Linked DNA regions of Callithrix jacchus. The protein of the gene in region 1 interacts with the protein of each later gene in a pairwise test. Links are inferred from orthologs where the notes say so. Each region holds a gene or a part of one and is shown in the gene's direction. Other genes may lie near its edges. The genes, in order: KLHL12 and TBC1D10C.

Region 1 (15,252 bases):
CTCCATCTTTCATTTTGTGAATAAAAGGAGTGGGCATACTCTAAACAAAGCCTGTTTTATTAAGTTCCTTCTCATATTTGGAAAAATCCTTAATTTAGCAGTCAGGAATTAGGCAATATCATTAAAGTACTATTTTACATTCTGAAAACAAGGAATTATTTTTACTTTTTATTTTTATTTTGTTTATTTATTTATTCGAGATGGTGTCTTGCTCTGTAGCCCAGGCTGGAGTGCAGTGGCGGGATCTCAGCTCCCTGTGACCTCTGCCTGACAGATTCAAGCGATTCTTCAGCCTCCGCCTCCCAAGTGGCTGGAAGTGCAGGTGTGTGCCACCATGACTAGTTACTTTTTTTATTTTTAGTAGAGACAGGGTTTTGCCATGTTGGCCAGGCTGGTCTTGGCCTCCTGACCTTAGGTAATCCACCCTCCTCGGCCTCCCAAAGTGCTAGGATTACAGGCATGAGCCACTGGACCAAGACTATTTTTGCCATTTAAAAAATTGAACATATAAAAATAAAAAAATTAATTGAACATATAAGGCCGGTCGCAGTGGCTCACGCTTGTAATCTCAGCACTTTGGGAGGCCGAGGAGGGTAGATCACAAGGTCAGGAGTTCTAGAGCAGCCTGCCCAATATGCTGAAACTCCGTTTCTACTAAAAATACAAAAATAATTAGCCAGTCGTGGTGGCACACACATGTAGTCCCAGCTACTAGAGAGGCTGAGGCAGAGAATTGCTTGAACCCGGGAGGTGGAGGTTGCAGTGAGCTGAGATCGAGCCACTGCACTCCAGCCTGGCTGACACAGCGAGACTCCGTCTCAAAAAAAATTTTTGAACATATAAATATATTTTGAGACGTGGTCTTACTATGTCACCCAGGCTGGTCACGAACTTCGGGGCTCAAGCAATCTTCCCACTTCAGTCTCCAGAGCAGATAGGACAACAGGTGCCCACCACTGCACCAGGCTCTGAACATTATTTATAATTCACATGATGAAAAATTCAAAAGGCAAACAAAAATTATAAAGGGCAAAACTCTCCTTCCCACCCTGTCTCACAGCCAAACAGTTCCTCTCCCCAAAGAAACCAATGTTACCACTTTATTTTGTCTTTCCAAATACAGTTTACACACACAAGCAAATATGAATATATCTTCTACGTTTTATTTTTTGTGGGGGGGATGAGTTTCCCTCTTGTTGCCCAGGATGGAGTGCAATGGCATGATCTTGGCTCACCACAACCTTTGCCTCCTGGGTTCAAGCGATTCTCCTGCCTCAGTCTCCCAAGTAGCTGGGATTATAGGCGTGTGCCACCATGCCCTGCTACTTTTGTACTTTTAGTAGAGACGGGGTTTCTCCATGTCGGTCAGGCTGGTCTCAAACTCCTGACCTCAGGTGATCCGCCCGCCTCAGCCTCCCAAAGTGCCGTGATTACAGGCGTGATCTTCCACCTTTTTACCCAATAATAGAGAATACAGATTGTTCACAGCTTCATGGTATTGGATTTTATGGATGTACTATATTTCATTGAATTGGTCCCCTACTAATGGACATTTAACGTTGTTGTCAATCTAATCTACAAACAATGCTGCAGTTTGTACATATGTAGTACATATCTTTTACATATGTAGTCTTACATGTGCATGTGAATAATTTTATTAAAATTGACAAATATTTCCAAAATGCCCCCAATAAATTTTATAACAATCTTGCATTCTTCTCTACAATGTGGAAGTCAGGGACAGTTTTAGACAAGGAAAACACGACATGGAAGATGGAGATGCAATGTAAATTTAGAATGCTGCCCACTTGGCTATGGTTTTAGTATCCTTAAGAATGAAAGGGCTGGGCGCTGTGGCTCATCCCTGTAATCCGAGCACTTTGGGAGGCTGAGGAGGGTGGATCACGAGGTCAGCAGTTCAAGAGCAGCCTGGCCAACATTGCAAAACGCAGTCTCTACTAAAAATACAAAAATTAGCTGGGCGTGATAGTGCGTGCCTGTAGTCCCAGTTCCTGGCGGGGCGGGGCTGAGGCCGGAGAATCGCTTGATCCCGGGAGGCAGAGGTTGCAGTGAGCTGAGATCATGTCACAGCATTCCAGCCTGGGCAACAGAGTGAGACTCCATCTCAAAAAAAGAAAGAAAAAGGGGGCTCACAGAAGAAAATAGTATTACCAATTTGTTGTCTAGACATTCAGATAAGTTGAACCAATTAACCTCTTTGCCTTTTCAGACACTAACTGCACCAAAATCAGTTAGAAGCGAACTTTCTTAAATTAACCTTCAGCAACCATAGCCTGGTGAAATGTCAGCAGGGGAGTAACAGTGGTGATAAGGCTGTCTAAGATTTCCCTAAGAAGATTCTTTCCAATTTCCCTCTTAATGTCCACCTTGTAGTGGCCACAAGTTCCTTTCACTTAATTGTCTTGGAGTGAAAGAAGTAAAATCACCTTAGTGGTGATGATAAGCCCCATTATGACGCAAAGTATATACGAGGTCTGTGGATCGCAGGGCTCAGAGGATTCTTGCGCAGCGTTGTTCGGCCCCAAGAGGTCATTGTGGACAATGGAAGGGAAGAAATTTGAGGCCTCCGTGGGTTTTCTCGATAGCAAAAAGTTCCTCAGTACCTGGAAGGTAAAACGCACTTCCTGCATTCAGATGTTTAGCATATTAAGCCTTAGAATTCTCTCCGTCTGCTCTGCCTCCTGAGCGGTGGGGAGGGTCTCAGGCTCATTCAATCGCCAAGCTGTAGAGCTATATTCCCAGGCTTCCTGCGGACCCCACACCACCCAACCGTCCGTCCTTCCTTCCATCTTTCCTTTCTTCTATCTTTCTCTCTCTCGCTCCCTCCTTCCTTTCTTTCTTTCTCTTTCTCTCTTGAGAGTCTCACTCTGTCGCGCAGGTTGGAGTGCAGTGGTTCTGCTGCCTCAGCCTCCTGAGTGGTTGGGATTACATTCGCACACCAGAACGCCCGGCTAATGTTTTTGTATTTTTAGTAGCAACTGGGTTTAACCATGTTGGCCAGGCTGGTCTCGAACTCCTGACCTCCAGTGATCCACCTGCCTTGGCCTCTGGGATTACAGGACTGACCACTATGCCAGCCCTCCCCCCGCCCCCCCCGCCTCCCCCCCCGCCCCCGACAGGGTCTCATTCTGTGGCCCAGGCTGGAGTGCAGTGGCTGTCAGGTCTCCATATGCAAGCCTGGAACCAGAACGTCTGAAGTCCTGCCTGCTGCCTGCCTCTGCTAATTGTCTCCCACCCCACCGCCTGCGTTGGCCATTGTCCCTAATCGCCCAGCAGAGCTTCCCCGGACAAGCCCCTCACCCCACCCTGCCATCTTAACTGTTCTTATGTTAAATGTGGATACCTCTCACCCCATCCTGCCATCTTAACTGCTCTTATGATAATGTGAATGCTCCTTGCCCCATCCTGCCATCTTAACTGCTCTTCCGCCTTACTCAACCCGCCATTGTAACTGAACTTGTGGTCATGTATACTCCTTGCCACTACCCCCGACCACTGTAACTGATCTTACTCTGCAACACCCTCGCCCCCCAAAATTACCCCAACTTATAGAACCAATTCCCACCCTTACTCTCTTCGCCTTTCTCAGATTCGGTCCGCTTGCACCCAAGCGAGAAATAAAATGTCCTTGTTGCCCACACAAAGCCTGTTTGGAAAATCTCTATATTAAATGCATTTAATTTTCGGTATTATTAGACGTGAATAACAGTGGCGATCCTGGCCCACGGCAACCTCTGCTGCCTGGGTTCAAGGGATTCTCCTGCCTCAGCCTCCGGAGTAGCTGGGACTACAGGCGCAGGCCACCACGCCGGACTAAATTTTTTTTTAAATTTTTTGGTGGAGACGGGGTTTTGCTGTGTTGCCCAGGCGGGTCTGGAACTCCTGAGCTCAGGTAATCCGCTCGCCTCAGCCTCCCAAAAGTGCCGGGATTACAGGGGTGAGCCACCGCGCCCCGGCCACCTGACCTTTTTCTAATTCGGCTTCATAGCAGTTTACAGAAGTCCCGCCCCCGATAAGGCAGGTCACGTGACACCGCCTCATCACGTGACGCGGACTCTGCGGCGGGAGGAGGGCGGTCCTCACGCTGCATTGCGTCATCACGTCGCGCGGCCGCGGGGTCCAGACCCGAAGGCTCCAGAGCCTCCGGAGCCTCCGGGTCTGGGCGGCGGCGGCGGCGCTTCGGCTCCTTGTGAGCCGCCTGCTGGCCCTGCGCCCCACCCTATCCCCACAGGCTGGGGACAGGCCCGGCGCGGCTGTGTGGGCACGGGAGCTGAGGTGAGTTGCGCGGAAGTGATGGCAGTCAGTCTTTCCCTTCCTGTCCATCAACTCCGGGTTATGGCCCTTCCCCCATCCTTGGTCTCCCTGCAAGGGAATCGGAGGCTCGCCCTGGATAGGAGGAAGGCTGCGTGGGGCGTCTGGCCTCGGTCGCCCTCTCATCTCTCCGCATACCTCCACCTGGCGGTGCTGGTCATATGTATGCCTGCTGGTGTCAGGGGGAAGGACTTCGTTTCTTTCTCTAGAATTTAGTCTTTCCCGAATGTATTGCCCCTCCCCTGCCTCGAATCTCCCGAAGTGGAATCCCTCTATTCAGATGTTAACGGAAGTTCTAGAAAATAGGTCACTTCAGAAAGGTGAGAGTGAAGGATATGCTGAGACTTGGAGTGGTGAGGCAGGAATCCCCAAGAAGGAAGACCACTTTGCACCAGGGTTACTGTCATTTTGATGTGGAAACGACAAACCCCCCTCCCTCCCAGATTGTCATCAAGGTAAATAGACATTTGTTTCGGACCCTTTTTACACCCCTGGAGTTGAAATTAAATTGACTTAAGGCTTCTTGAAAAACATCATATGCTTTGATGAATCACCTGCTTTTCTGTAAAATTGGTCTTGCAGAGTTGTTGGAGGGATTATCTATGGTGCTTGTAGTGTAAAATGCCAACTATAAACATAAGTAAATGAGAATTTAAGATCTCATTTTTCCTATTGAAAAATTGTGAGTTGTGGACTTTTAGAGACCGTCGTTTGATTCCCAACCTTGGATCATTTCAGAAAGTTTTGGATTCCAATATTGATTCGTTAACAGTAATTGACATTTACAGATGTAGAGTAGGAATACCTTCTTGTTGAAGAGCTTCAATAGCTTAAGCAAGTAAGTCCACTTGGGTGGTTTCCACAGTTCATTGTAGGTAATGGGTCCTCAATTGGTTTTTTGTTGTTGTTGTTGCTGTTTTTAATTTTTTATTTATTTATTTTTTTTCTGATGCATTCTCGCTCTGTTGCCCAGGCTGGAGTGCAGTGGCATGATCTAGGCTCACTCGATGGAGCAATTCTCAACTGCCTCCTGGGTTCAAGCAATTCTCGTGCCTCAGCCTTCCCAGTAGCTAGGATTACAGGCATGTGCCACCACACCCGGCTAATTTTTGTGTTTTTAGTAGAGACAGGGTTTCATCATGTTGGTCAGGCTGATCTCGAACTCCTGACCTCAACTGATATGCCCACCTCAGCTTCCTAAAGTCCTGGGATTACAGGCGTGAGCTACTGGGCTGGGCCTGAAGTTTCACTTTAAGAAGAAATCCAGATATATTTGGAAGTCATCAGACGTAATTATTTGCATACTTTAGAAAAGTACATTTTTACCGAACTTTCTTGCTCTAAGTTGAATACACACTTTTTTTTTTTGCATTCAATTCTAAGCATTTATTGTGCAACTTCTAGGATAGAAAGCATACATATAAAGCAGGATCTTCACCCTCTAAATGCTTATCTACTTATGGATATTAAATAGTAATGATATAATACCTTTAAGGAATTTTATATTTTATTTTATTATTATTTTTTTTGGGACAGAGTCGCATACTGTTGCCCAGGCTGTAGTGCAGTGGTGCAATCTTGGCTCACTGCAGTCTCTGCCTCCTGGGTTCAAGCAATTCTCCTGCCTTACAGGTGTGTGCCACCATGCCCAGCTAATTTTTTGGTATTTTTAGTAGAGATGGGGTTTCACCACATTGGCCAGGTTGGTCTTGATCTGACCTCGTGATGCGTCCGCCTCTGCCTCCCAAAGTGCTGGGATTACAGGCGTGAGCCACTGCACCCGGCCTATATTTTCATTGTATCATTTGACACAAGAACCTTGTGAAGATTTACAGGACATAGATTGTTTACTTACATTTCAGCGTTCATCATAATAAATGTCAAGTGGTAGGGACACTCCATGATAGAGGAATTCGGAGGAAGAAGAGAGAACTTTTACATGGACTAGATAGTAGCTAGATAGTGGTGGTTATGTCAGGTATAGGAGTGCCTTCTACTTGTATATGTTTGAGTCTGAGGAAGCCCCTTAGATTCTCAATTTGTAAAGCTAATAAATATGTTGTTTCCCTAGTTTTTTGAATATGCTCATTGTTTTTTTCTCTTGTAATTGCAGAATCCAAGGACCCCTTTTGTTTCTCTGCACCACTTTCTGGGTGACATTATGGCCCCCAAAGACATAATGACAAATACTCATGCTAAATCCATCCTGAATTCAATGAACTCCCTCAGGAAGAGCAATACCCTCTGTGATGTGACATTGAGAGTGGAGCATAAAGACTTCCCTGCCCATCGGATTGTGCTGGCTGCCTGTAGTGATTACTTCTGTGCCATGTTCACTAGTGAGGTAAGTGGTAAGTTAGCCCCACACAAATGAAACTCTCCCATTGAACTCTACTTGTCTAATTTCACTGAATAAAATGTGATATAATTGTGAATTTTTACAGTGTGATGTTTAAGTAGGCAGATTCTGGATAAGATCTACCACCTGACTATGCCTTAGTTTCCTCATCTTTAAATTAGGGGTAATAGTAATATGTAATAACACATGATTATTAAGGTTATTGTGAAGATTACCTTATAAAATAACTTACGAAGTGCTTAGAATGGTGTAATATGTAGTAAAGCACAAATGTCAGCTATTGTATTTTACTATTTCTTAAATTTGTCTTCCAATTTTTCTCCTTTTTTTGTTTCTAATTTTATTTATTTGTAAAGACAGGGTCTCACTATATATTGCCCAGGCTGATCTTGAACTCCTGGGCTCAAGTGTTCCTCCTGCCTTGGACTCCCAAAGTGGCCACACCTGACATTACAGGTGTAAGCCACTGCACCTGGCCTTTTCTCCTTCTAAAGTTTAAAAATTCTTAAGTGAATACCAGAGGGCTAAGAAGGAAGGAAGGAGAGAGGAGTAGGATTCAGATCTCACCCCATTCCTCCTAACAATATGTGAAGAAAAATCAGTGTAGATTTTAGGATAACTTCAAATGAAAGGAAGAAGAGTTTTTAATGAATAGCTGTACAGGTATAGAGTACATCACCTGAAAAAAGATGTTAGCTCATAAGCATTTAACCAAGGGAATTAGGAAAAAGGTGACGTGACAGAATACAGGTAGTGCTAACAAAGTATTAAGAAACACTGCTTAGTAATTGCCTGACAAAATACTTGAAATGTGGAGTAAGGCTATATTGTGTTCAGTGCTCCTAGAAAGCTGCACAGGAAGGAACATTGCAAGCCTTTGTTTTTCAAGATCCCAAGTCTGATTATAAGAGCAGATTTAAATGAATTACCTTGATTTTTTTTTTTTTCATAGCTCAGTCATGGGTGCACCACTGTTTATTATATTATCTACACCCATATGTATGCCTGAAATAGTTTATTACAAAAACACTTTTTTAAACATCTTTTTAAGCACAAGTATTTTTTTTTTTTTTTTTTTTTTTTTAGTTCTATCATCTTAGTGAAGATATTGCTACTGGATCAGGATGGGAGAGGCATATTCTATGATGGTAATAACTACCTTTTATGGGCCAGGTACTGTGCTAGTGATTGTTGTGCATATCTCACTCACCCTAGGGGTTGTTATTACCATCTCATTTTTACAAATGAAGGAACAGGGTTTCATATATTAAATCACTTGCCCAAACTCCCATGGATTATAAGTGCTCAAGGTAGAATTTAATTCTATATTTTCTGTCTTATAAAGTCCAAACTTTTTTTTTTTTTTTTAATTTTGGTTTTTAAGATGGAGTTTTGCTCTTGTTGCCCAGGCTGGAGTGCAATGGTGCAATCTTGACTTACCGCAACCTCCCTGTCTCAGGTTCAAGCAATTCTACTGTCTCAGCCTCCCTAGCAGCTGGGATTACAGGCATGTGCCGCCACATCTGGCTAATTTTGTATTTTTATTATAGATGGTTTCTCTATGTTGGTCAAGCTGGTCTTGAACTCCCAACCTCAGGTGATCCGACTGCTTTGGCCTCCCAAAGTGCTGGGATTATAGGTGTGAACCACCACACCTGGCCAAAGCCGGAATGGTTTTTAACTATTATGCTGCCTTAGTCTCTGAAGTATGAATTTTATATCCTACAGTCTACTTTTAAAACCAGTATAGTTAAAAATACTATGGGCTGATGCTCAGTCACATGGCTAGTAGGGAAAACAGGAACTGATAGGTCATTCCAGCTAATCCAGGCTAATTTTTAAATGAACTTGTGTGATAAAACAAGGTAGATCCCTGTCCTATACTGTTCTTCATGGGATATACCAAGAGCATCAGAAGCATTTGGAATTTACCTGGGTAAAGAGAGTGTCACCCAGCAGCTGCTGAGCATCAAATAAACTAGAACTGTTGACTGCTAATTATGTATTGTGTATCCTGTTTTTTGTCAGCTTGAAAATATTCTGTCTTTACTCTTAATTCAGAAATTAATTCTTTTTTTCTCATTTTTGATTTCTTTCTTTAAAAACTGACATCAGGCTGGCCGGGCGCTATGGCTCACGCCTGTAATCCCAGCTCTTAGGGAGGCAGAGGCGGGAGGGTAGCTTGAGCCCGGGAGTTCAAGACCTGCCTGGGCAATATAGCGAGACCCCGTTCTCTACAAAAAGGAAAAAAGACAAAAAGACAAAATAATAATAATAATAATAAAACTTGACATCAGGCAAAAAAATGCCAGATGGTTTTGTTTTTATTTTTCAGAGTAATTGGTTTAAAGGAGAGAGTCCAGAGACCTGGAATCTAGGCTTAGTTCTCTTAGCAATTCTGTATAAACCCTGTCAACCATCTAACTTCACTGGGTTGATCTGTAAAATAAAGTAGTTGAACTAGATGGTTTCCTTGTTCTCTTCAGCCATGAAATGCTCCTCAAATGTCATCTGATTGAAAGATCACAGGACTGAGGCAAGAGGACCTGGGTTTTATGTCTCTCTTTTTTTTTTCTGAAATACTTTGATAGCAATGATATCTGTCTCTCACTGGCTGAGTGACTCTGGTTAAGTCCTATATCTGCTTTGATTCTTAGATCCTTTATCTCTTAAGTAGTAATAATATCAGATCTAACTACCTTACCAGGTTGTTGGGAGAATCAGATGAAATAGTAGAAAATGAGAAGCACTGAAAAATTCTAAAGCAAAATATAAATGTGAAATGTACTATTGCTCTAATCAATATTTAAACTATTTGATGGAAATATAGGTTATTGAGTGAGAAATTTCAATTTCTGGAATACGTGTACTTACATATTTCAGTATCATAATTTTTTTTTTTAAATTTTTTATTGGATTTTAGGTTTTGGGAGTATCATAATTGAATGTATTTAATGTGTTGGGACAGTAATTGTTTATAAATATTAGTACTGTATTAAGTGTTAATAAAACCTAATATGTTTTTTCAAAATAATGTGCTCTTGACTTTTTTTACTGTTAGGGATTGATTTTGTTCTTGGCTTTGTAGAGAGTGCTTTTTGGTTATTCTCTGGCTGACGGAGAAATCAAACATGATAAAGCAATTTAGTTCATAATGGAGGTACACCAGATTTTTGTTAGTAAAATAAATTTCTAAACTAAGATTCAGTAAAAATTTTTATAAGGTATTTTTAGATAATTTACTCTCCTTTAAAGTTGAAGATTTCTTCTCTTAGCTCAACAGTTTTCTATGATTATCTGGCCTCATCAATACTCAACAGCTTCAAGGAGATATACTACTAACAATTCAGTTAGTCTAACAATATTTTGAAAAAGTAACAAACACTTTATTTGTATTCAGATGGTGTTACATAAGAAAGTCCCTTAGGATGACCTGCATATTCTTTTTCATCATTACTAAATGTAGTCTGAGGGCCAGGCATGGTGGCTCCCTCCTGTATTCCCAGCACCTTGGTAAGCAGAGGTGGGTGGATCACCTGAGGTCAGAAGTTCAAGATCAGCTTGGTCTACATGGCGAAGCCTTGTCTCTACTAAAAATACAAAAATTATCTGGGCACGGGGGCTCACGCCTATAATCCCAGCACTTCGGGAGGCTGAGGTGGGCCAGTCACTTGAGGTCAGGAGTTTTGAGACCAGCCTGGCAACATAGTGAAACTCTGCCTCTACTAAAAATATAAAAATTAGCTGGGAGTGGTGGCACATCCTTGTAGTCCCAGCTACTCAGGAGACTGAGGAAAGAGAATTGCTTGAACCTGGGAGGCAGAACTTGAAGTGAGCCAAGATCGTGCCACTGCACTCCAGCCTGGGCAACAGAATGAGACTCCATCTCAAAAAAAAAACAAAACAGAAATTAGCTGGGTGTGGTGGTGTACTCTTGTAATCCTAGCTACTTGGGAGGCTGAGGCAGGAGAATAACTTGAACCTGGGAAGAAGTACAGTTTGCCGAGATCGCATCAGTGCACTCTAGCCTGGGCAACAGAGCGAGACCCTATCTCCAGAAAAAAAAAAAAATGTAGTCCAGGGACAGATGATAGGAACTAGGTAATCCTGGAGAGACTGGAGTTATAACCCACAGGTCCTCTACAAATGTGAAATTTTTTTGAAATTCTGTGTCTTAGCTGGGCGCAGTGGCTCATGCCTTTGGGAGCACTTTGGGAGGCTGAGGTGGGCGGATCACCTGAGGTCGGGAGTTCAAGATCAGCCTGACCAACATAAAGAAACCCTGTCTCTACAGAATTAGCAGGGCATGGTGGTGCATGCGTCTAATCCTAGCTACTTCGGCACCTGAGGCAGGAGAATGGCTTGAACCCGGGAGGTGGAGGTTGTGGTAAGCCAAGATGTGTCATTGTACTCCAACCTGGGCAACAAGAGTGAAACTCTGTCTCAAAGACAAAGAAAAGAAATTTTGTGTTTTATCTTAAAAGTTGATGGACTAGTGTTATATTCATGGAAGTTTTGCATTCTATTCTGTGATACTTTTTTTTTTGGTATTTTTAGTAGAGATGGGGTTTCACTATATTGGCCAGACTAGTCTTGAACTTCAGACCTTGTGATCCGCCATCTTGGCCTCCCAAAGTGCTAGGATTACAGGTGTGAGCCACCATGCCTGGCCTATGTCTGTATTTTAATATGAAATTGATTTTTAAAGTTATTCACTGGCAACATTGCTATTCTAGGAAGGTGTCACATATTATTTACTCCGAGGGTATAGATAACTGCCCATTTCATTTGGAAAGCTACAGACATGTGACATATTTGCTTTATTCAAATCCAACAAAACAGGTCATAATTTTTATTTTTATTTATTTATTTATTTATTTTTTTGAGACGGAGTTTCGCTCTTGTTACCCAGGCTGGAGTGCAATGGCACGATCTCGGCTCACCGCAACCTCTGCCTCCTGGGTTCAGGCAATTCTCCTGCCTCAGCCTCCCGAGCAGCTGGGATTACAGGCGTGCGCCCCCATGCCCAGCTAATTTTCTGTATTTTTCGTAGAGACTGGGTTTCACCAGGTTGACCAGGATGGTCTCGATCTCTTGACCTCGTGATCCACCCGCCTCGGCCTCCCAAAGTGCTGGGATTACAGGCTTGAGCCACCGCGCCTGGCCTATTTTTTTAATTTTTAAATTTTTTTGAAAGAATCTCACTGGTGCCCAGGCTGGAGTGCAGTGGCACAATCTGGGCTTACTGCAACCTCCACCTCCCAGGTTGAAGCAAGCAATTCTCCTGCCTCAGCCTCCTGAGTACCTGGGACTATAGGCATGTACCACCACGCCCAACTCATTTTTGTATTTCTAGTGGAGTTGGAGTTTCATCATGTTTTCCAGGCTGGTCTTGAATTCCTCACCTCAAGTGATCTGCCTGCCTAGGCCTCCCAAAGTGCTAGGATTACAGGTGTGAGCCACCACTCCTGGCCCTTAATTTTTAAAGATATATGTTCAATTAATATTATTAACATCTGTAAGCTCTTAGATATGAGATTGTGCCTTTATCTTGTGGAATTATAACCATCATTCTTTTATACCTTTTACATTTTCAGCTTTCAGAGAAGGGCAAGCCTTATGTTGACATCCAAGGTTTGACTGCCTCTACTATGGAAATTTTATTGGACTTTGTGTACACAGAAACAGTACATGTGACGGTGGAGAATGTGCAAGAACTACTCCCTGCAGCCTGTCTGCTTCAGTTGAAAGGTATAGACATTAAAACTTGCTATGTCAAAATAGCCCTGGAAAGGTTGAAAATTAATAGTGTAAACTTAATCGTGACCATTTTGGAGACAAACTGGATGCTCACGTTTACTGGCTATCCCTTTTGTCTCATTAAGCAGTAAAAAATCAGATGTCAATAGCAGTATAAAGGAACTTCTGATATGCATATGTGGCTCTATGAAAGGAGCACTTGCATGTTTTTTTTTTTTTAAAAAAATGTAAGAAGAAATTATGTATTTTCTTACATACATGTATATAACACATCTGTAAGAAGTATAAAAAACTGATATTTTACATAGCCTACAGGGATACTCTTCATTTACCTGGCCATTAAGTAGCCAGGTTGATAATGAGGCTAGGGGGACTTTTCATGGTAAACCCTTTTGTATCTTCAAATATTTGAACTATGTAGAATATCTGTTAAATGAACTTTAAATTCATGCACAAAAAAATGATAGTTTTCACAGGATTACAGATGGTTTGTTTTCCCGTACAATTCCCAGGTTTTTTGGGTTTTTTTGTTTTGTTTTTACCACAGGGTCTCCCTCTGTCACCCAGATTAGAGTGCAGTGGTGCAGTCACAGCTCACTGTAGCCTTGAATTCTTGGGCTCAAGCAATTCTCCCACCTCAGCCTCCTGAGTAGCTGGGACCACAGATGCATGCCACCATACCCACCTAATTAAAAAAAAAAGTTGTGGAGATGAGTTCTTTCTGTGTTGCTCAGGCTGGTCTCAAGCTCATGGGCTTAAGTGATCGAGCTGCCATTCCTGGTCCCCAGTTTTTCTTTTCTTTTCTTTTTTTTTTTGAGACAGAGTTTCGCTCTTGTTACCCAGGCTGGAGTGCAAAATGGTGCAATCTCGGCTCACTGCAACCTCCGCCTCCTGGGTTCAGGCAATTCTCCTGCCTCAGCCTCCCGAGTAGCTGGGATTACAGGCACACGCCACCATGCCCAGCTAATTTTTTGTATTTTTAGTAGAGACGGGGTTTCACCATGTTGACCAGGATGGTCTCGATCTCTTGACCTTGTGATCCACCCGCCTCGGCCTCCCAAAGTGCTGGGATTATAGGCTTGAGCCATCGCGCCCGGCCCCGGTTTTTCTTTTTTAACATTCAGTTATGTTTTCATTATTCTCAGTTTTTATATATACATAATTGACACATTTTTAGTTTTTAATACATGATTTAAATAGCGTGATGCTTTTGCATTAGTGCATAGTTGTAAAATTTAAATACTCTGAACTTTTCAATTAGGTAAATATGAGATTTGTTATTACTGTCTTCTGCTTTTCTTTCACTCGAGTCATTTAGTAGGTTTTTGTGTAGAGTAGAAAATAGGTACATTATGCTGAATTAGTAATTGGTTTTATAGTTTGATTCCCAAGAGTTTTATAGGCATGTTTGTTGAACTGTGCTAGTGTCTCTGGATGCAATTCATCTTGCAATACTGATTTTAAAGAATAAGCAGAGACGGGTGTAAAGGTCTTGCTGAAAGTGACACAGCATGTAAGCCAGAAATAGAGTTTAAGATCCTTAAGCATAGAATTTCTAATCTGTTTCTTAGGGTTCATCTGATAACATGTAGAGAAGATGTCAACATATAAGAATATAGAGTAGATCACACCTGTCTGACTATTCTAAAGTGTTTGCTGCCTGTGTCTATCCTAGGTGTGAAACAAGCCTGCTGTGAGTTCTTAGAAAGTCAGTTGGACCCTTCTAATTGCCTGGGTATTAGGGATTTTGCCGAAACCCACAATTGTGTTGACCTGATGCAAGCAGCTGAGGTTTTTAGCCAGAAGCATTTTCCTGAAGTGGTACAGCATGAAGAATTCATTCTTCTGAGTCAAGGAGAGGTGGAAAAGCTAATCAAGTGTGATGAAATTCAGGTACAGATTTGTCTTTGTGTTATGGTTTCTTCAAGATTGGGCAATTACAAAACTGGCAAAGTAGGATGCAGTTACTTACCAGGGCTTCATATTCAAGTGTCCATATTGGCTCAAAGATTTCATTAATCCCTCCTGTACCAAATTTATTTGTATTTTTATGGAGAGGGAGTCTGCTACTTTCTTCAGTTAGGTGTATGATCCCAATCGGTAAGAATCACTATTAAACAGAGTATAGAATAAGCAGAAATTGGAAGTAAAGTCGGTATCTGTAGAACACGTCTTTATTACGCATTCACTCAGTTCACAAAATTTATTGAGAATATCTACTATGCAGCAATACTATGCCAGGTGCTACAGATCCCCAAGTGGGTAAATATAGTTTCTTGCTTTCAGAAAATTCACAATATGCTAGTAGAGACAGGGATATAGATAAAAAAAAAAAAAAAAAAGGTTGAGAGGATAATGAGAATAATGAGCCTATACAAAGTAAGGACATTACATAGAAGAAAGAAGAATAAACCCAGGTGTGGATCAAAAATGAAGAGATAAAAGTTTGGAAGTGAGGATCTTCATAAGCAGGAGACAAATCAAAACTTTCTTTTGAGGGTGCAGGGGATGGAAGGAAGGGACAGGTGAACTAGATCTTAAAGGAATAGTAGGCCAGGTGCAGTGGCTTATGCCTGTAATCCCAGTACTTTGGGAGGCTGAGGCAGGAGACCTGCTTGAGCCCAGGAGTTTGAGACCAGCCTGCAACATGGCAAAACCCCGTCTTTACAAAAAAATAAAATTAGCCTGGCATGGTGGTGAGCACCTGTGGTCCCAGCTACTTGGAAGGCTGAGGTGGGAGGATCTCTTGAGCCCAGGAGTTTGAGGCTGCAGTGAGCCATGATCACATCACTGCACTCTAG
Region 2 (15,568 bases), on another chromosome or scaffold:
CAGGCCTGAGCCATCACACCTGGCCCCATAATAAGCTTTGAGTAGCACAGTAATATTGCAGGGTGTGCACGTAAAAAGAATTATAAAGAGTAGACATTACATGAACCGTAATTACTGTTGGAACCCTGAGTTGGGTGCTTTACACACCAGTAACCTCAAAACTGGAGGTGGGCTGGCCATCGTGGCTCAGGCCTGTAATTCCAGCACTTTGGGAGGCTGAGGCATAATGATCTCTTGCGCCCAGCCTGGGCAACATGGCGAAACCTCGTCTCAACACAAAACACAAAAATTGGCCAGGCACCGTGGCTCACACCTGTAAGCCCAGCACTTTGGGAGGTTAAGGCAGGCAGATCACAAGGTCAGGAAATTGAGACCATCCTGGCTAACACAGTGAAACCCCGTCTCTACTAAAAATACAAAAAATTAGCTGGGCATGGTGGTACGTGCCTGTGGTTCCAGCTACTCAGGAGGCTGAGGCAGGAGAATCACTTGAACCAGGAGGCAGAGGTTGCAGTGAGCTGAGATGGCGCCACTGCACTCCAGCTTGGGTGACAGAGAGAGAGAACGTATCAAAAAAAAAAAAAAAAAAATTGTGCTCACTTCGGCAGAACATATACTAAAATTGGAACGATACAGAGAAGATTAGCATGGCCCCTGCACAAGGATGACACATGAATTCGTGAAGCGTTCCATTTTATTAAAAAAAAAAATTAGCTGGGCATGGTGGTGCATGCCTGCAGTCCCAGCTGCCAGGGAGGCAGGAGGATCTCTTGAGACCAGGAGGTGGAGACTGCAGTGAGCCCAGATCATGCCATTACACTCCAGCCGGGGTAACAGTGAGACACTCTCTCAAAAAAAGAAACATGAAGGCCAGGCGTGGTGGCTCACACCTGTAATCCCAGCACTTTGGGAGGCTAAAGCAGATAGATTATTTGAGGTCAGGATTTTGAGACTAGCCTGGCCAACATGGCAAAAACACATCTCTACTAAAAAATACAAAAATTAGCCAGGCATAGTGGCATGCCTGTAATTCCAGCTACTTGGGAGGCTGAGGCAGGAGAATCACTTGAACCCGGGAGGTGGAGGTTGCAGTGAGCCGAGATCGCACCATTGCACTCCAGCCTAGGCGAAAGAGCAAGACTTTGTCTCATAACAAACAAACAAACTGGAGGTGGGTGGCCTCCTGGTGAGGCAGGCCTGGGCTCTACACACCCAGCATAGGATCTCAAGCCTGTAGCTTGGGGAGGGTGGGAGGAGCCCACAGCTCAGGGGCACTGGGGCAAGCAGGAAGAGTCAGAGAGGAAGGGGTGACACCTCCCTACACTTGGGAGGGGCCCCCAGCGGTTGCCAAAGCTGTGTGAGGAGGAGGAAGTGAGAGGAGGAGGTGAGGTGCTGCCGGAGGTGAGCTGGGCTGGTGGGGACAGGGGCTGGGCCTGGGGCTGGGTCTCCAGACAGAGACCCAGTCAGTGTGGGGCCTAGCCCCCGCCCCCATAAAAGAGGAGACGTAGGGGGCTTGGTGAGATACCCTGAAACCTCTCAGCTCTGACCCTGCAGCCAGGCCCCAGCCTGGCCAGAGTGGTCCCTCACACTGGTTCTCCCCACATTCTCTGCCTGTGGCATTGAAGGCTGAGGGCACCATGGCCCAGGCCCTGGGGGAGGATCTGGTCCAGTCGCCCGGGCTGCAGGATGACTCCAGCTCTTTGGGGTCGGACTCAGAACTCAGCGGGCCTGGCCCATATCGCCAGGCCGACCGCTATGGATTCATTGGGGGCAGCTCAGCAGAGCCAGGGTAAGGGGGCAGGGTGAGGGATGGTGGGATACTGGGACAGAGGATGCCGGGGGAGGGCTGAATTCTGTAGTGAGGCCTAACTCAGGGAGGTTGGGAGGGTCTGGTGGTAGGGACTGGGAGGGGGACTCAGCCAGTATCACCCCTCTGCAGGCTCCAGGTGGAACCTAAGGTCGGAAGGGTAGGGGGAGGCCTCTGTACATCTCTTACCCCCAACCCCTGAGGGTTTCACTCACTGCTGGGGCAGAATATCCTTCCCCTTCAAACCTCTGGCCCAGGAATCCCAGATCCAAGTCCCAGAACCCACACCTCCTCCTTCCCCCTTTCCCCAAGCTGCAGACAGAAACACAAGTTCACATCTATACAGAAACTTGTGTCACACAGGGGATCAGAGACAGACCCAGACTCAAACTCAGGACTCCGGGCTTCCAATCCAGGGCTCTCGGCAGCCAGCTTCCTCTATGAATTGTCTGTGTCCCTGTCCTGCGTGACAGCCAGCCTGCTCCTCCCCCAACATACACCCACTCACCTCTTCAGTCTCCTGCTTCTGCCCACATTGGATCCACATCCTTTCCTGTCCCCCTGACAAGCATTAGCAGCTCCTGGGTCACAGGTCATCCCACAGGGCTCCCAGAGATCCCTGGGGCCAGGAGCTGGGCTCAACTGGGTGGCAGCGTGGGCCCTGGGTAACAGCTGCCGAGCTCCTGGATACCTGTGCCACGCACCCCCAGGCCGGACCACCCCCCTGCAGACCTCATCCGCCAACGGGAGATGAAGTGGGTGGAGATGACCTCTCACTGGGAGAAAACCATGTCCCGGAGGTACAAGAAGGTGAGAGGACAGGGGCCCCACACTGGTCTCCATGGCTCATTCCTCTCTGCCTTGGCCCACATCTTGGCAAAATGTACCCACCCTGGGTCCCAGCACCTCCTGCCTTTGCTCCCTGCCACCCAGAGTGGGCCCCTGCCTGCTGATGAGCTGTGCCTGGGGCCTGCCAGCGGGAGCTAGGGAGGTTGCCTAGCGGAGCCCTCGGCCTCGCCCACAGGTAAAGATGCAGTGCCGGAAAGGTATCCCATCTGCTCTGCGTGCCCGGTGCTGGCCCCTGTTGTGCGGGGCCCATGTATGCCAAAAGAACAACCCTGGCACCTATCAGGTGAGGGAGTGGGCAGGGGCTCCAGCTCCCTTACCCAGAGCACGCACCACACCGAACCCTCACACCCACCTTCCCGGCTACCCACAGGAGCTGGCAGAGGCCCCTGGAGACCCACAGTGGATGGAGACAATTGGCAGGGACCTGCACCGCCAGTTCCCCCTGCACGAGATGTTTGTGTCACCCCAGGGCCACGGGTACGAGGCAGGTGATGCCCAGGGACCCTCAGCCCCACGAGCCCCAAGTGCTCTGGCCCACTTTCCCCAGCCCAGCTTTACAGTTTTGCATCTCAGGGGACCCAGCAAGGCCCAGGGAGGCTGAGGCCTGGGCAGAGGCCACCAGAGGGCGGAGAAGGGGTGCCTGCAGGACCGGCCCCTTATGGGGTCTTCTGGCACAGGCAGCAAGGGCTCCTGCACGTGCTCAAGGCCTATACCCTGTATCGACCGGAGCAGGGCTACTGCCAGGCCCAGGGGCCTGTGGCTGCTGTGCTGCTCATGCACCTGCCCCCAGAGGTGAGTGACCTTGACCTTGCTCTGGGAACCCTAGTGACCTAGGCCCAGGGAACCCCAACCCCAGGAACTGTGGCCTCAGAAACCTGGGATCCTTGATCCCTAGACCCTGTCCTAGTGACCAGGGCCTCATGACTGCCAACCACAGTGACCTTCCAGCCTAATGACCTTGACTCTAGGAACCTTGACCTCAGCCTTGACCCTAGTCACCTGGGAGTCTGGATGTCATCACTTTGACCCCACAACTCCTGATTCTGAACTTAGGGAGTGTGACCCCAACCCCAATGACCCCAGAAACCCATGACTTGAACTTTGGGATACTCCAAAACCTTGGCCAGTGAACCCCAACTCTCATCCTCAAATCTGTGACTCCAACACCCTAAACCCATTGGCAGGCCCTGTCCTGGGCAGAGGAGGGGGCTTTTGGCAAGGGCTTCCCAGGAGCTGAGCAGGTTGAATGGCCCTGATCCCACTGTGGTGCCCAGGCCCTCCCCTTCAGTCCTTCCTCCATCCTGCCTTCCTCTCGCGGTGGCTTCCTTGGTGGGCACTCATAGACCTGTGCCCTGCCCCTTCCCCAGGAGGCCTTCTGGTGCCTGGTGCAAATCTGTGAGGTCTACCTCCCTGGCTACTACGGGCCCCACATGGTGAGAGGCTGGCATGGGGGCTGGAGGAAGGAGGGGCAGGGCCCTGGTGAGTGGGTGGGGTTGGGGGACTGAGGGAGGCAGAGCCTGGGCTCTGGGAGTGACAGTGCTGGCCAGCTGATGGACATGCCACAGGAGGCCGTGCGGCTGGACGCCGAGGTGTTCATGGCTCTGCTGCGGCGGCTGCTCCCGCACGTGCACAAGCACCTGCAGCAGGTGGGCGTCGGACCCCTGCTCTACCTGCCGGAGTGGTTCCTGTGCCTCTTCTCCCGCTCCCTGCCCTTCCCCACAGTGCTGCGTGTCTGGGATGCCTTCCTCAGTGAGGGTGAGTGGGGCAGTAAGGGGCTGGGGCAGGAGCCTTGGGGTGTGGGTGGGAGGTAGCTCACCAGCCCCAGGGTTCCCTTTTGGGGCCTTGAATCACGGATTGGGTGTACTGAAGTTGTTGACCTGGTGCCTGGCGATACATCACCCATCACCCATCACCCAGGCACCACCTGGTGCTGAGCTGGCCAGGGAGGCTTCCAGGGAGGCAGATGAAGCAGGAAGTGGGCGATCACAGCCCGTGGAGGCCTCTGCCGCTCAGGGATAGGCACCTCCTGGGTGCTTACTGGCTCCAGACGTGGATCTGCAGCTGGGAATCAAGTGATTGAGACCTTCATGCTGGCGGGGGTGGGGGTGGGTGGCGACAGTAACCAAATTCACAAGATATTTATAGATTGTCAGAAGTGCCATGAAGAAAATAAAACGAGGGATATGACAGGGAGTGTCAGGGGAGTGCAGGGTGACGGCTGCATTTCAGCTGCTGCTGGCTGCTCTGTGCAGGGGGAGGACTCACAGGGGTCTCTGTAGAGGCCTGGGGCCAGGAAAGCCACTGTCCCCAGGGGCCAGGCTACAGTCAATGCAGGAGAGAGGGCTTGGAGCTGTGAAGCCAGAGAGGGGGATGCTGGAGGCCAGGCCAAGAGCGGGTGGGGAGTCAGGGCAGAGCCAAGCTGGACTACCTGTGTCTTTCAGACTCCGCCTCAATACCTCCATCAGCAACCCACCTGCATTCTGTTCTTTTTTTTTTTTTTTTTGAGATGGAGTCTTGCTCTGTCACCAGGCTGGAGTGCAGTGGTGCGATCTCTGTTCACTGCATCCTCCACCTCCTGGGTTCAAGAGATTCTCCTGCCTCAGCCTCCTGAGTAGCTGGGACTACAAGTGCATGCCACCATGCTCAGCTAATTTTTGTATTTTTAGTAGAGATGGGGTTTCACCATGTTGGCCAAGATAGTCTCGATCTCTTGGCCTCATGAACTACCTGCCTCAGTCTCCCAAAGTGCTGGGATTACAGGCGTTAAGTCACCGTGCCCGGCCCCTGCATTCTGCTCTATATGTGAGGTCTGGAGGTTGCACCTTAAAAAAACGTGGCAGAAATCAGTCAGCATGCATACTAAGTGTCATTCGGGTGCTCAGCTGGCTTCCTGCCCTCCACCCAGTGGGAGGACCATTGCCGAGTTCTGGCAACAGACGTCCAAGTCGCTATCCTTGTGGTCACTCCTGGAACAGGGCTGGGCAGAGCTGGGCAGGGCATGACCCGTCCACCTACAGGAAAACCCTGCACAGGATCCCTTATCAGAAGGACAATAGCATGAGTAGTGATTGTTCCTCGACGGTCACGGTCCTCACTCAGCCTGGCTGGTGCCCTGGTGGCTCTTCTCAGATCAGAGGCTGCCAGGAAGGGATTTTGAGGCTTCAGGACTAGCCCAAGGTCACATGTGTGGGGAGCGCTATGCTCCTGGCTTAGGGGAGAGCAGTTCTGCCTAGGTCTTTCTAGAATCAGAGGGTCACAGATCCAAGCTGGAAAGGTCTTAAAGGGCATCACCTCACCTTTCCCTGTTCCTTGTGGAGATGAGCAAGCTGGGGCCCAGGGAGGGCTTGGTGTGAACTCACCAGTAGCCCCCGGCTCCTGGAAGGAAGCTGGTGGCTTGGTGGGGGCGGGAGCATTGAGGTGTGGGTGGGGAACTAGCTCACCAGCTCTGGGGTTCCCTTTTGGTGTGCTGAAGATGATGGCCCTGTGCCTGGTGGCACATCACCTGTCACCTGGATGCTGCCTGGGGCAGGAGCTGGGTGATCACAGCACATGGAAGCTTGATGGGCTGAGGGAGGGGAGAAGGTGCTTCTCCCTGGAGCTCACAGGCACCTGCCAGGCGCTCACTGGCTCTAGACGTGGATCTGGCATCTGAGAATCAAGTGATCAAGACCTTCATTCTGGTGGCGGCGGGGATGGGAGGTGGCAGTAACCAAATTTGAAAGATATTAACTCTGCCCCAAAGCATCTGTGGCTCTTGAGGCTAACTTGGCCAGTGCAGTGGCCTGTGTCACCTGAAATGTAACCCCACCTTCTGTTATTGCTCCTGAACCGGGGAGGGCAGAGCTGCAGGAAAGTGGCAGATGTACGGCTGAGAGCAGGTTTGGGTGCAGAACTGTGGAGTGAGCCAGCCCCTGGCCCACAGGTGCCAAAGTGCTGTTCCGTGTGGGGCTGACGCTGGTGCGCCTGGCGCTGGGCACTGCAGAGCAGCGCAGAGCCTGCCCTGGCCTCCTGGAGACACTGGGAGCCCTTCGAGCCATCTCCCCAACGCAGCTGCAGGAGGAGGTCTTCATGTCTCAGGTGGGTGCCCCCGCCTCTCCGAGAACTGGCCCAGTCCCTGCTGCACGGGGGAAACTGAGTCCCAGGGCAGGAAGCCAAAGTGAGAATGGGGGCTTAGTTCCTGTCCCCTGAGCAGCTGAGAACATGAAAACCCCAGGCCTTCAGAGGCTGTCTATGGCTCCCCAGTGAGGCTGCCTGTTAGCCCCTCAGTCCTCAGCCACTTCCGGGACTGGGAACCTCACAGTTTCCTGTTTCTGCCCTGAGGCCGACCAAACTCAGCACCAATAATTCCCCACAGGTTCACGGCGTGGTGCTGTCGGAGCGGGACCTGCAGCGGGAAATCAAGGCCCAGCTGGCCCAGCTGGCCCAGCTGCCCGATTCTGCACCGGGGCCCCCACCCCGGCCACAGGCCCGCCTCCCCGGGGCCCAAGCCATCTTCGAGGCCCAGCAGCTGGCAGGGGCGCAACCAGGTGCCAAGCCTGAGGTGCCTCGGATCGTGGTGCAGCCCCCAGAGGAGCCCAGACCACCACGGCGGAAACCCCAGACCCGAGGCAAGACTTTCCATGGGCTCCTGACTCGGGCCCGAGGCCCCCCCCTCGAGGGACCCCCCAGGCCCCAACGAAGCTCCACCTCCTTCCTGGACACCCGCTTCTGAGAGGACCATGGACTCAGTGTCCCCCAGGCTCCATCACCTGATGGCTGATGCCCAGCCCTGCACTTTACTCTTGGGACCTGGGGGCTCAGCTTCCTTCCTGGCAAGGACTAGGCGGAGGAGGAGGAGGTCCTCTGTGGTACATACTGGGTGAGGCACTAGCATGGGGGGGGTCCCAGAGTGGGGCACGTGAGGACCCATGGAGCCATCCTGGTGCCAGGCCCTCACGAGTACCAAAGCCAGCACTGAACAAGTCGGGGAAGGGGTCGGCTGGGCCGAGGGACCCCAGAGAGCTCCAGGAATAAAATCTTGAACAGATGCCTCAGATGGTGCTGGATAAAATGCCCTCCTCCCACCTCCAACAGGCAGCCCCTTCCCCTCCTCTCTCACCTGCCCCCTCCCAGCTTCGCACTCTCCTGGTCCTGCCATGGTCCCACCCTGGGGACATACCGAGGCTGCCCACTGGCTGCTGGGGAAGGTGTTTAGGTGTTTACAGTAGTAGTAAGAGCCAATTGAAAGTGTCCCTCCCCCAGCCTCTGGGGACAGGGATGGCTTTTGCACCTGTAGAAGGGGGGCGCCCCAAGGATGGTGAGCCCAGGGGCTCTACCCGTCTTTTGCCCTCCTTTCCCTCCCTCCAGGGTGGTTCCGGACTCTCTGGGATGGGGACTCTAACCCAAGTCCTCCCCGCACCCATGGTCCTGGTCACATCTGTCAAAGGGACCCAGGCAGAACAAAGGCCCAGTGTGCCTGGGACAAAGGAGAAAGGTCCCGCCGGCCCTCACCCCTCCCAGAGCCCCGCGTCTGCCCCCTCAGGACCGCCACCATGGAAACCCCATCCTACACTCACTAATTGCCCCCGTGGGTGCCCAGGACCTGAGCCATTGCCGGGGCAATGGGGCCGGTTCCCAAGTGCCCTCCCCTCTCTGGGGAACACAGCAGGACTCTAATGGACAGGAGGCATCTGCAGGCCCAGGCTCCGGGGCTGTCCATCGGGTGGGTGTCAGTGGAGTCACCTGTCAGACTCTGGGTTTGGAATGTTCTTTCGACAGGGCCACAGGCTGTGTCTGTGTGGTAAGTGCCAGGCCCTGGGTTCCTGGAAGAGGGAATCATGGTGGCCTAGACCCTTATCTGTCATTTCTCTGGGGGAAACAGGCTGAGGAGGAGCAGGAACTTGCAGACAGCCTTACTGTTCATAGCAGTCCCAAGGTTTACCCCTGCCCCGACCACTGGCAGCTCCCCCCTGGGCAGCCCCCTGGGGAGGGGTGCATTCTCCTGCCCCTTCTCCCCCATCCCCAATGCTGCACCAGCCTTCCAGTGTGTAGACGAGGCAGCAGCAGGACTCCTGAGTTAGCACTCCAGAGCCTCCCTCCGCCCACTCCTCCTCACCCCATTGGGGTGCGTACAACTTATTAATAACCCCCTTACCTATAATTTACAAAACCCTTTCCAAGAACCACCCCGCACACCAGGCCCTCTCTCTGCACGTAGCCCCTGATATCCCTGTTAGAGACACACAGGATCAGTGAGGCCAGGGACCTCACCCAGCCCCACAGTGAAAGGCAAAGCTGGCCGGAGTGCTCTGTGTAGACAGGGAGTCTCTTGGTGGAATCTCAGGCTCTGTAGCAGGCAGGGTGGCCAGGGTGGGGGCACTTGTCCCTGAAGTCCACTTGGGAGCTCCCCACCCTCCACAGGTTCAGCTCTTCTCCTGGGAGAACAGGGGAGCAAGGTGCAGCAGCCTCAGCCCTGGGTCAAGGGTCTGTCATGAACCTGCGGGGGCATGGTGGCAGTGGCTCACTCTGGACACTGACCCTAGGAGCAGGTGGTCTCCAGCAGGGTCCCTCTAGCTGGGGCTCAGCCACTGCCTTTCCTACTCAGGAGACTGTTTTCTGGCAGCCCAGCTGTAGGTTTCGTTATCAGTCCTCTGCACAAGAGCCCTGACTCACAGGTCGGACAGAACCAGTGCCCTCCTGGTGTGAACCCTCAAAAGAATGCATTCCCACAGGCCCTCCTCCGCAGGGCTGCACCGGCCCCCACAGCACCTTTTTGCTAGCTGGGGAAATATGTCTCTCCTCCAGGCAACATGCCTCATCACAGTGCACGGTGTAACAGAGTGGGGAGGGATCTCTCACCCAGGTGCCTTTGTGCAGTGAGCAACCTACGCAACCGTACTCAGAGACCCTAGAAACGCCCTAGAGACCTGCCTGGAAAGGGGCTCAGAGAAGGGAAGCGATGCATCTGAGAGCACTCAGCGTGTGGGGACTGATGCTGGGAGGGCCCCTGGGATGTCTGTCAGCCTCAGAGTGGGGCATGCATCGTGGACATGAGTGGGGGCATGCAAAGGAATGAGGGGGGCAAATGGGTGCCCGCCATGGATGGGGGGACCCACGGTCTCCGTCTTGCTCTGCCACCCACTCGAGGTTCCCTGAATTCCCACAGCGTTCCAGGCTCCCAGAGGTATCAGACTTGGAATCCCCTACATGGGAAAAGCCCTTTCTCCTTCTCTGAGCCTCAGTTTCTCCTGTGGATAACGGGATAATAATGCCCCCACCCCAGCTTCAAGACCGCTCTACCAGCACATGATGATGGTGATGATAGTGACGACTGTTAGTCCAGGTGGGCAGCAGCCGAAGCACTGCCCCTCCTCACCCCACCCCTACCTGGCTCAGCTCTGCCTCGGGGTGATGTCCAGGCTTTCCTGGCAAGGGTAGAGCTGAACCACCCTGCCCACCTGCCTGCCCCAAGTCCCAGGGTCCTGAGCTGGGGCTGCAGCTGCCCAATTCTGATTTTCCTCCTTCTATCCTCCCTGTATCCAGTGCAGTGGGGACCAGCCAGGGTGGCCTGAAAGTGGGCACAGAACCACACAGCTCTCTGTGCATGCACGCACGCATTCTGGCAGAAGATCCCAGCTCTGCCAATCACCAGCTGTGTGACCTTGGGCAAGTCACACCACCTCTCTGAGTCTCATAATTGCTCCCTTGCCTGTGCAGTGTTAGGTCTGGGCTCAGTGTGCACTGTATCCCCACTTGAAGAGAGAAAACTGAGTCCCCAGGGCTGCAGAGCTTGTTGGTTTGTTTGTTTTGAGATGGAATCTCGCTCTGTTCCCTAGGCTGGAGTGCAGTGGCGCGATCTCAACTCATTGCAGCCTCCGCCTCGTGGGTTCATATGATTCTCCTGCCTCAGGCTCCCGAGTAGCTGGGATTATAGGTGCCTGCCACCACATCTGGCTAATTTTTGTATTTTTGGTAGAGACGGGATTTCACCACGTTGGCCAGGCTGGTCTCGAACTCCTGACTTCAGGTGATCCGCCAGTCTTGGCCTCCCAAAATGCTGGGATTACAGGCATGAGCCACTGCACCTGGCCTCATTTTTTGTATTTTTAGTAGAGACAGGGTTTCACCAAGTTAGTCAGGCTGGTCTCAAACTCCTGACCTCAGGTGATCTGCCTGCCTCGGCCTCCCAAAGTACTGGGATTACAGGTGTGAGCCACCGCACCTGGCCTGTAGAGCTTGTTAAATGTCAAAACTCATGCTCTTTGGATGACACCCAGGCCCCACAGTAGGATCCCATGGGAGCTCAGACCACCCATGCAGCAAGGGATTGGGTCTCCTGGGGTGGCTGCACCTCATTCCTGGAGCCTGGGCCGGGTGCAGGGAGGGCTGCAGGTGGACCTGGAAGCTATGTGGGGAATGTGGGCTGGGTGGGGCACTCTGGAGAAGACATTTCACCTCCCTGCCGACCCTTCCAGTGGTAGACAGGATGGCTGCACAGACTGCCCTGTATATAGTTGCAGAAAGCATCCAACAGCTGCCATCTCTGTCCCCACAGTGTGTGGGCCCCTCAGTACTCTCCCCCAGGCCAAGGGGCTCCCAAGGACAGCTGGGGCTCAATGTGTGTCGAGCTCTGAGCCAGGCAGGGAGAGGGGCTGAGCGGGTGTGCTGGGGGTAAATCGTGGCTGTGATCCAGGTCTCTTGGTGTACCCTTCTGTGGCTATTTGGGTGGGTGGGCTTGGGTGTGAGTATGTGTATCTTGGAGAGACTGTAGCTTCAACTGAGGATGTGGTGTTGATGAGTAGAGCAGATTTTTTTTTTAAAGAGATAGTGGGGGTGGGCACAGTGGCTCACACCTGTAATCCCAGTACTTTGGGGGGCCAAGGAGGGCAGATCACAAGGTCAAGAGCTTGACCATGCTGGCCAACATGGTGAAACCCTATCTCTACTAAAAATACAAAAATTAGCTGGGCGTGGTGGTGCACACTTTTAGTCCCAGCTACTTGGGAGGCTGAGGCAGGAGAATTGCTGGAACCCAGGAGGCAGAGGTTGTGGTGATCAGCGATCACGCTATTGCACTCCAGCCTGGGAAACAGACCAAGACTCTATCTCGAAAAAAAAAAAAAAAAGACGGCTGGGCGTCGTGGCTCATGCCTGTAATCTCAGCACTTTGGGAGGCCAAGGTGGGTGGATCACCTGAGGTCAGGAGTTCGAGACCAGACTGACCAATATGGTGAAACCCTGCCTTAAAAAAAAAAATAAAAGACAAGACAAGACATAGAGTCTGGCCGGGCATGGAGGCTCACACCTGTAATCCCAACACTTCAGGAGGCGAAGGCAGGTGGATCACGAGGTCAGGAGTTCAAGATCAGCCTGGCCAACATGGCAAAACCCTTTTTCTACTAAAAATACAAAAATTAGCTGGGCATGGTGGCGCACGCCTGTAATCCCAGCTACTCAGGAGGCTGAGGCAGGAGAATCACTCGAGCCTGGGAGGTGGAGATTGCAGTGGGCCGAGGTGGTGCCACTGCACCCCAGCCTGAGGAAAAGAAGAAGAAGAGAGAGATAGGGTCTCAGAGTCCCACTGTATTGCCCAGGCTAGAGTGTAGTGGCACAACCAGGACTAACTGCAGCCTCCATCCCGGGGCTCAGGTGATCTTCCCACCTCAGCCTCCCAAGTAGTTGGGATGACAGGCCCATACCACCTCAACCAACCGATTTTAAAACAGTTTTTGTACAAACAGGGACTTGCTATGTTGCCCAAGCTGGTCACAAACTCCTGGGTTCAAGCAATCCTCCTGCCTCAGCCTCCCAAAGTGCTGGGATTCCAGGCAGCCACCGCACCAGGAGAGGCTGGATCTTATGAACATCCCGCCCCTGTGTGCAAGTCCACTGAGGCCAGGAGAAGTGAGGAGGGGGCTGCACAGATGTGCGGAGACCCTGGCCCAGGAGGGCCTCTGGGAGAATGTGCAGTAGGGTGGAGCACTGGGGGCTGGGATCTCCAGATTCCATCCAAAGGTAGGGCTCAGGGCTGTGCCCCAGGCTGCTCTCCCGGGCACCCCACCCCTAAGGGCGAGCCCTAGTACCAGTCTCTGCCTGCTCCGGCTCTCCCTGCCCCTCCTCTCCATCTCTTCTCCATGGTGAGCCTCCCTCTTTCTTCACGGCAGCCCTAAGTCTGTGACCCTCGGCAACTGTCCCTGTCCATCTGCACCTGGCCCTCTGTCGGGACTTCCTCTGTGTCTCTGAAGATCACCGTCTCTTCCTGCCTGCTCCATGCCCTCCTCCTGCCAGGCCCAAGTCCGCTCCACACCCCCAAGTCTGGGACGTTTTGGGGGCGGGTGTGTCCCGGGCGGGTCCCTGTCTGTCCGTCAGCCCCACGTCGCCCCGCCAGGCACTGGGCATGCCCCAGGCGCTTCTATATAAGGCAGCACTGCCTGGGCTTGGGGCTGTGCCACTGCCACCGCCACCGCCACTGCCGCCGCTGCGTCCCGCCCTGTCCGAGTCTGCCCGCCACACTTGCCGAGCCGCTGCCGCCCACCAGGTACCCCGGCTCCAGCCTGCCCCAGGGAGAGTCAGGGAGGGGGGCGGCCAGGGCAGGAGTTGCCGGGACGAGGACCCCCGGGCGCCCGAGTCCCGCAGCGGGACACTTGACACTACGTTCCCTATCCCCGGGACACGGCTCGCCCCCCCCCCAGACACCCGGAAGTCCCCCCACCTCCCCCACTCCCTGTGCTGGAGGGGCCGAGCAGAGCCAGGACCCTACGGCAGTGAGGACCTGTGAGAACTGGGGCAGGAGCCACTCGGTCTGGGCAGCAGAAATCACTCCTCTGCTGTGGGGTGTAGTGGGCCCTTGGCCCCTATCTGCAGGGACAGGACAGAGGAGCAGTGGCGGCCACCTCTGCACTCCCAAAGTCTAGGGGCTGGAAGGCCAGGCAGGGACCTGGCTGCCCTGACTCCTTTGTCTCTCTGTCCCTCTGTCTCTGCCATCAGTCCCTCAGCCACTCCACCAACGAGATGGTGAGTCTCCTGTTGTCCCTCCCCCAAAAAGGCCCAAGTCCCTGGGCAGAGAGTGGGCCCAGAGGACAGCAGGCAGCACTCAGGACCTAAGCTCGGGGGCTGCCCTGTGCAGACAGCTTAGACTCATGGCCGGCCCCCCCCACACAACCCCACCTGGTGCATCCTGGGAGGTGGGCACTCTTAGTGCCCTGTGACATTCATTCACTCTGTGGCCCCTCAGGGAGCTCACCTTCTAGGAGAGGGCATGGCGACTCTGGCCCTGGCAAACTGGGATTGGAGCCCAGGTATGAGGCCCAGTCCTCTGCCGCCTAGGCAACAGCCCAACGTCTCCCAGCAACCAAGATTCTTGGCCCCAGCCTCATCAGCCCCCAGGGGATGGCACAGGGCCGGCACCAGGCAACAAGGCCCAGAGAGACCTCACAACTTCTCAAGGTGGCTGAGCCTGTCCCCTGGAGGTCACACCCGGCTGCCAGGCCTGGGGACTGCAAAGAACAAGAATTCCATTCACACTGAGCCTCTCAGCAGTCCCATAAGGGGGTGGGGCGCCAGCCTCAGAGAGGGGAGCGAGGGGAAGGGCATTAGGTTGCTGGGTCATGAGAGACAGATGAGCCACCCCAGAGTGATTGCTGGGTTCATTGGTTCATCTCATCTCCAGTCAACAAACACTTACTGAGCAGTGACTGTGCCAGACACCGTTTAGGTTCTAGGGTTGTCTCCACGAACAAAACAAGCAAAAAACTCTGCTGCTGTGAACCAAGCTAAGGTGGACCCCAGTGTGGGGTGGGGCTGGCCAGCAGGACACTGCTTCCTGCCACCCCCCCGGGGCACCACACAGAACAGTTTCCAAAGCACTCCCACCTACGAGTTCCCATTGACAAGCCTTCACCCCCAATACAAGTCTTTCCTCCCCTAGTCCCTGGGACAGTGACAGCCCTGAACATAGGCCAGGCTGGGAGAGTGGGAGGCTTACACCCTTGGGTGACTTAATGTGTCCGAGGGCCTACTCTGCCCAAGACCCACCATTTCTGCCGTCTCAGCTCTCCCTGGATCCATCAGGTCCTGAGTGGGATTGCCCACTGGGCTCCAAGGACCTGGAGGAAGAGGGCCCCTGGGGAGGGGACTCTGGCCTGCCACCCACAGGCTGCTTCCCTGGCTCCTGGCGCCAGGACGTGGGCCTGGACTACAAGGGCTCCCCCGAGGGGGCCGAGGCCCGGGCCTGGACTGTCTACTACTACAGCCTCCTGCAGAGCTGTCTGCAGCAAGCTGGCCTTCCGGAGACCCAGGACCGCAGCCAGGTGCCCTGCACAGGTGCCCAAGGGCTCCCCGGAGGGGGGCACCCCTGGGGGCAGGGAGGGGCCCTCAGCCTAGTCTGCCTCCTCATCCCTGCCCAGGTTGGTCCCTTCTCCAGGCTCCGGTTTGGTCTGAAGGCAGGGAGGGCACAGCCAGTTGGCCCAGGGTAGGCAGGCATTATTTCCAAGGGCATCTGGCACCAGTGAAGTCAAGGATTGGGCTCTCTGCCCTCACCCCCTCCCCACAAAGATCCAGCCCTGGGATTGGCAAACCATGTCGTATGGCCCTGAAGCTTCTAGAGAAGGCCTTGGGAGCTGTGGCGGAAGCAGCTCAGCAGCTGAGAACCCCCCCAGACTCCTCCCCTTCTGCACCTCCAAGCCTGTTGTATATGTCAGATTTTGTGTGGACAGAGAGTTCACAGATAGAATACCTGAGAATCACAGACTTGGGAAACTGAGGCAGACTGGGAGGAACACTGACTCCTCCAAGGTCACAGAGAAAGTCAGAGCTCGGGCTAGAACCCGGTTCTCCAGTCACCCAGCCTGCATCATCTCTGGAACAGCTGCAGAAAGAGGGGAGCCAGCCTCACAGGGCGGGTCGGGTGGGCACCTCCCTTCCCCAGCCCACTCC

What was found.
Region 2: the proteins of KLHL12 (region 1) and TBC1D10C interact in binary tests that used the Homo sapiens proteins (3 or more experiments, as listed by UniProt). The two-hybrid records come from large-scale screens. The link is inferred for Callithrix jacchus from reciprocal best matches to the Homo sapiens genes KLHL12 and TBC1D10C.

The regions. Positions count from the first base shown.
Region 1 is NC_133520.1:29,958,768-29,974,019, reverse strand, and holds the start of KLHL12 (kelch-like protein 12), read left to right. Parts: upstream 1-2,457; coding exon 2,458-2,631; intron 2,632-4,107; exon of another isoform or gene 4,108-4,667; coding exon of another isoform or gene 4,668-4,787; intron 4,788-6,445; coding exon 6,446-6,676; intron 6,677-12,288; coding exon 12,289-12,442; intron 12,443-14,126; coding exon 14,127-14,344; intron 14,345-15,252. Other genes in the region: transcription and mRNA export factor ENY2-like, read right to left, coding at 2,448-2,471. UniProt on the Homo sapiens protein: Substrate-specific adapter of a BCR (BTB-CUL3-RBX1) E3 ubiquitin ligase complex that acts as a negative regulator of Wnt signaling pathway and ER-Golgi transport.
Region 2 is NC_133511.1:124,480,906-124,496,473, forward strand, and holds TBC1D10C (carabin), read left to right. Parts: upstream 1-1,373; 5' UTR 1,374-1,637; coding exon 1,638-1,789; intron 1,790-2,517; coding exon 2,518-2,617; intron 2,618-2,831; coding exon 2,832-2,939; intron 2,940-3,026; coding exon 3,027-3,144; intron 3,145-3,333; coding exon of another isoform or gene 3,334-3,341; coding exon 3,342-3,448; intron 3,449-4,023; coding exon 4,024-4,089; intron 4,090-4,221; coding exon 4,222-4,411; coding exon of another isoform or gene 4,412-4,675; exon of another isoform or gene 4,676-4,800; intron 4,801-6,578; coding exon 6,579-6,733; intron 6,734-7,010; coding exon 7,011-7,367; 3' UTR 7,368-7,689; downstream 7,690-15,568. Other genes in the region: CARNS1 (carnosine synthase 1), read left to right, coding at 14,635-14,956.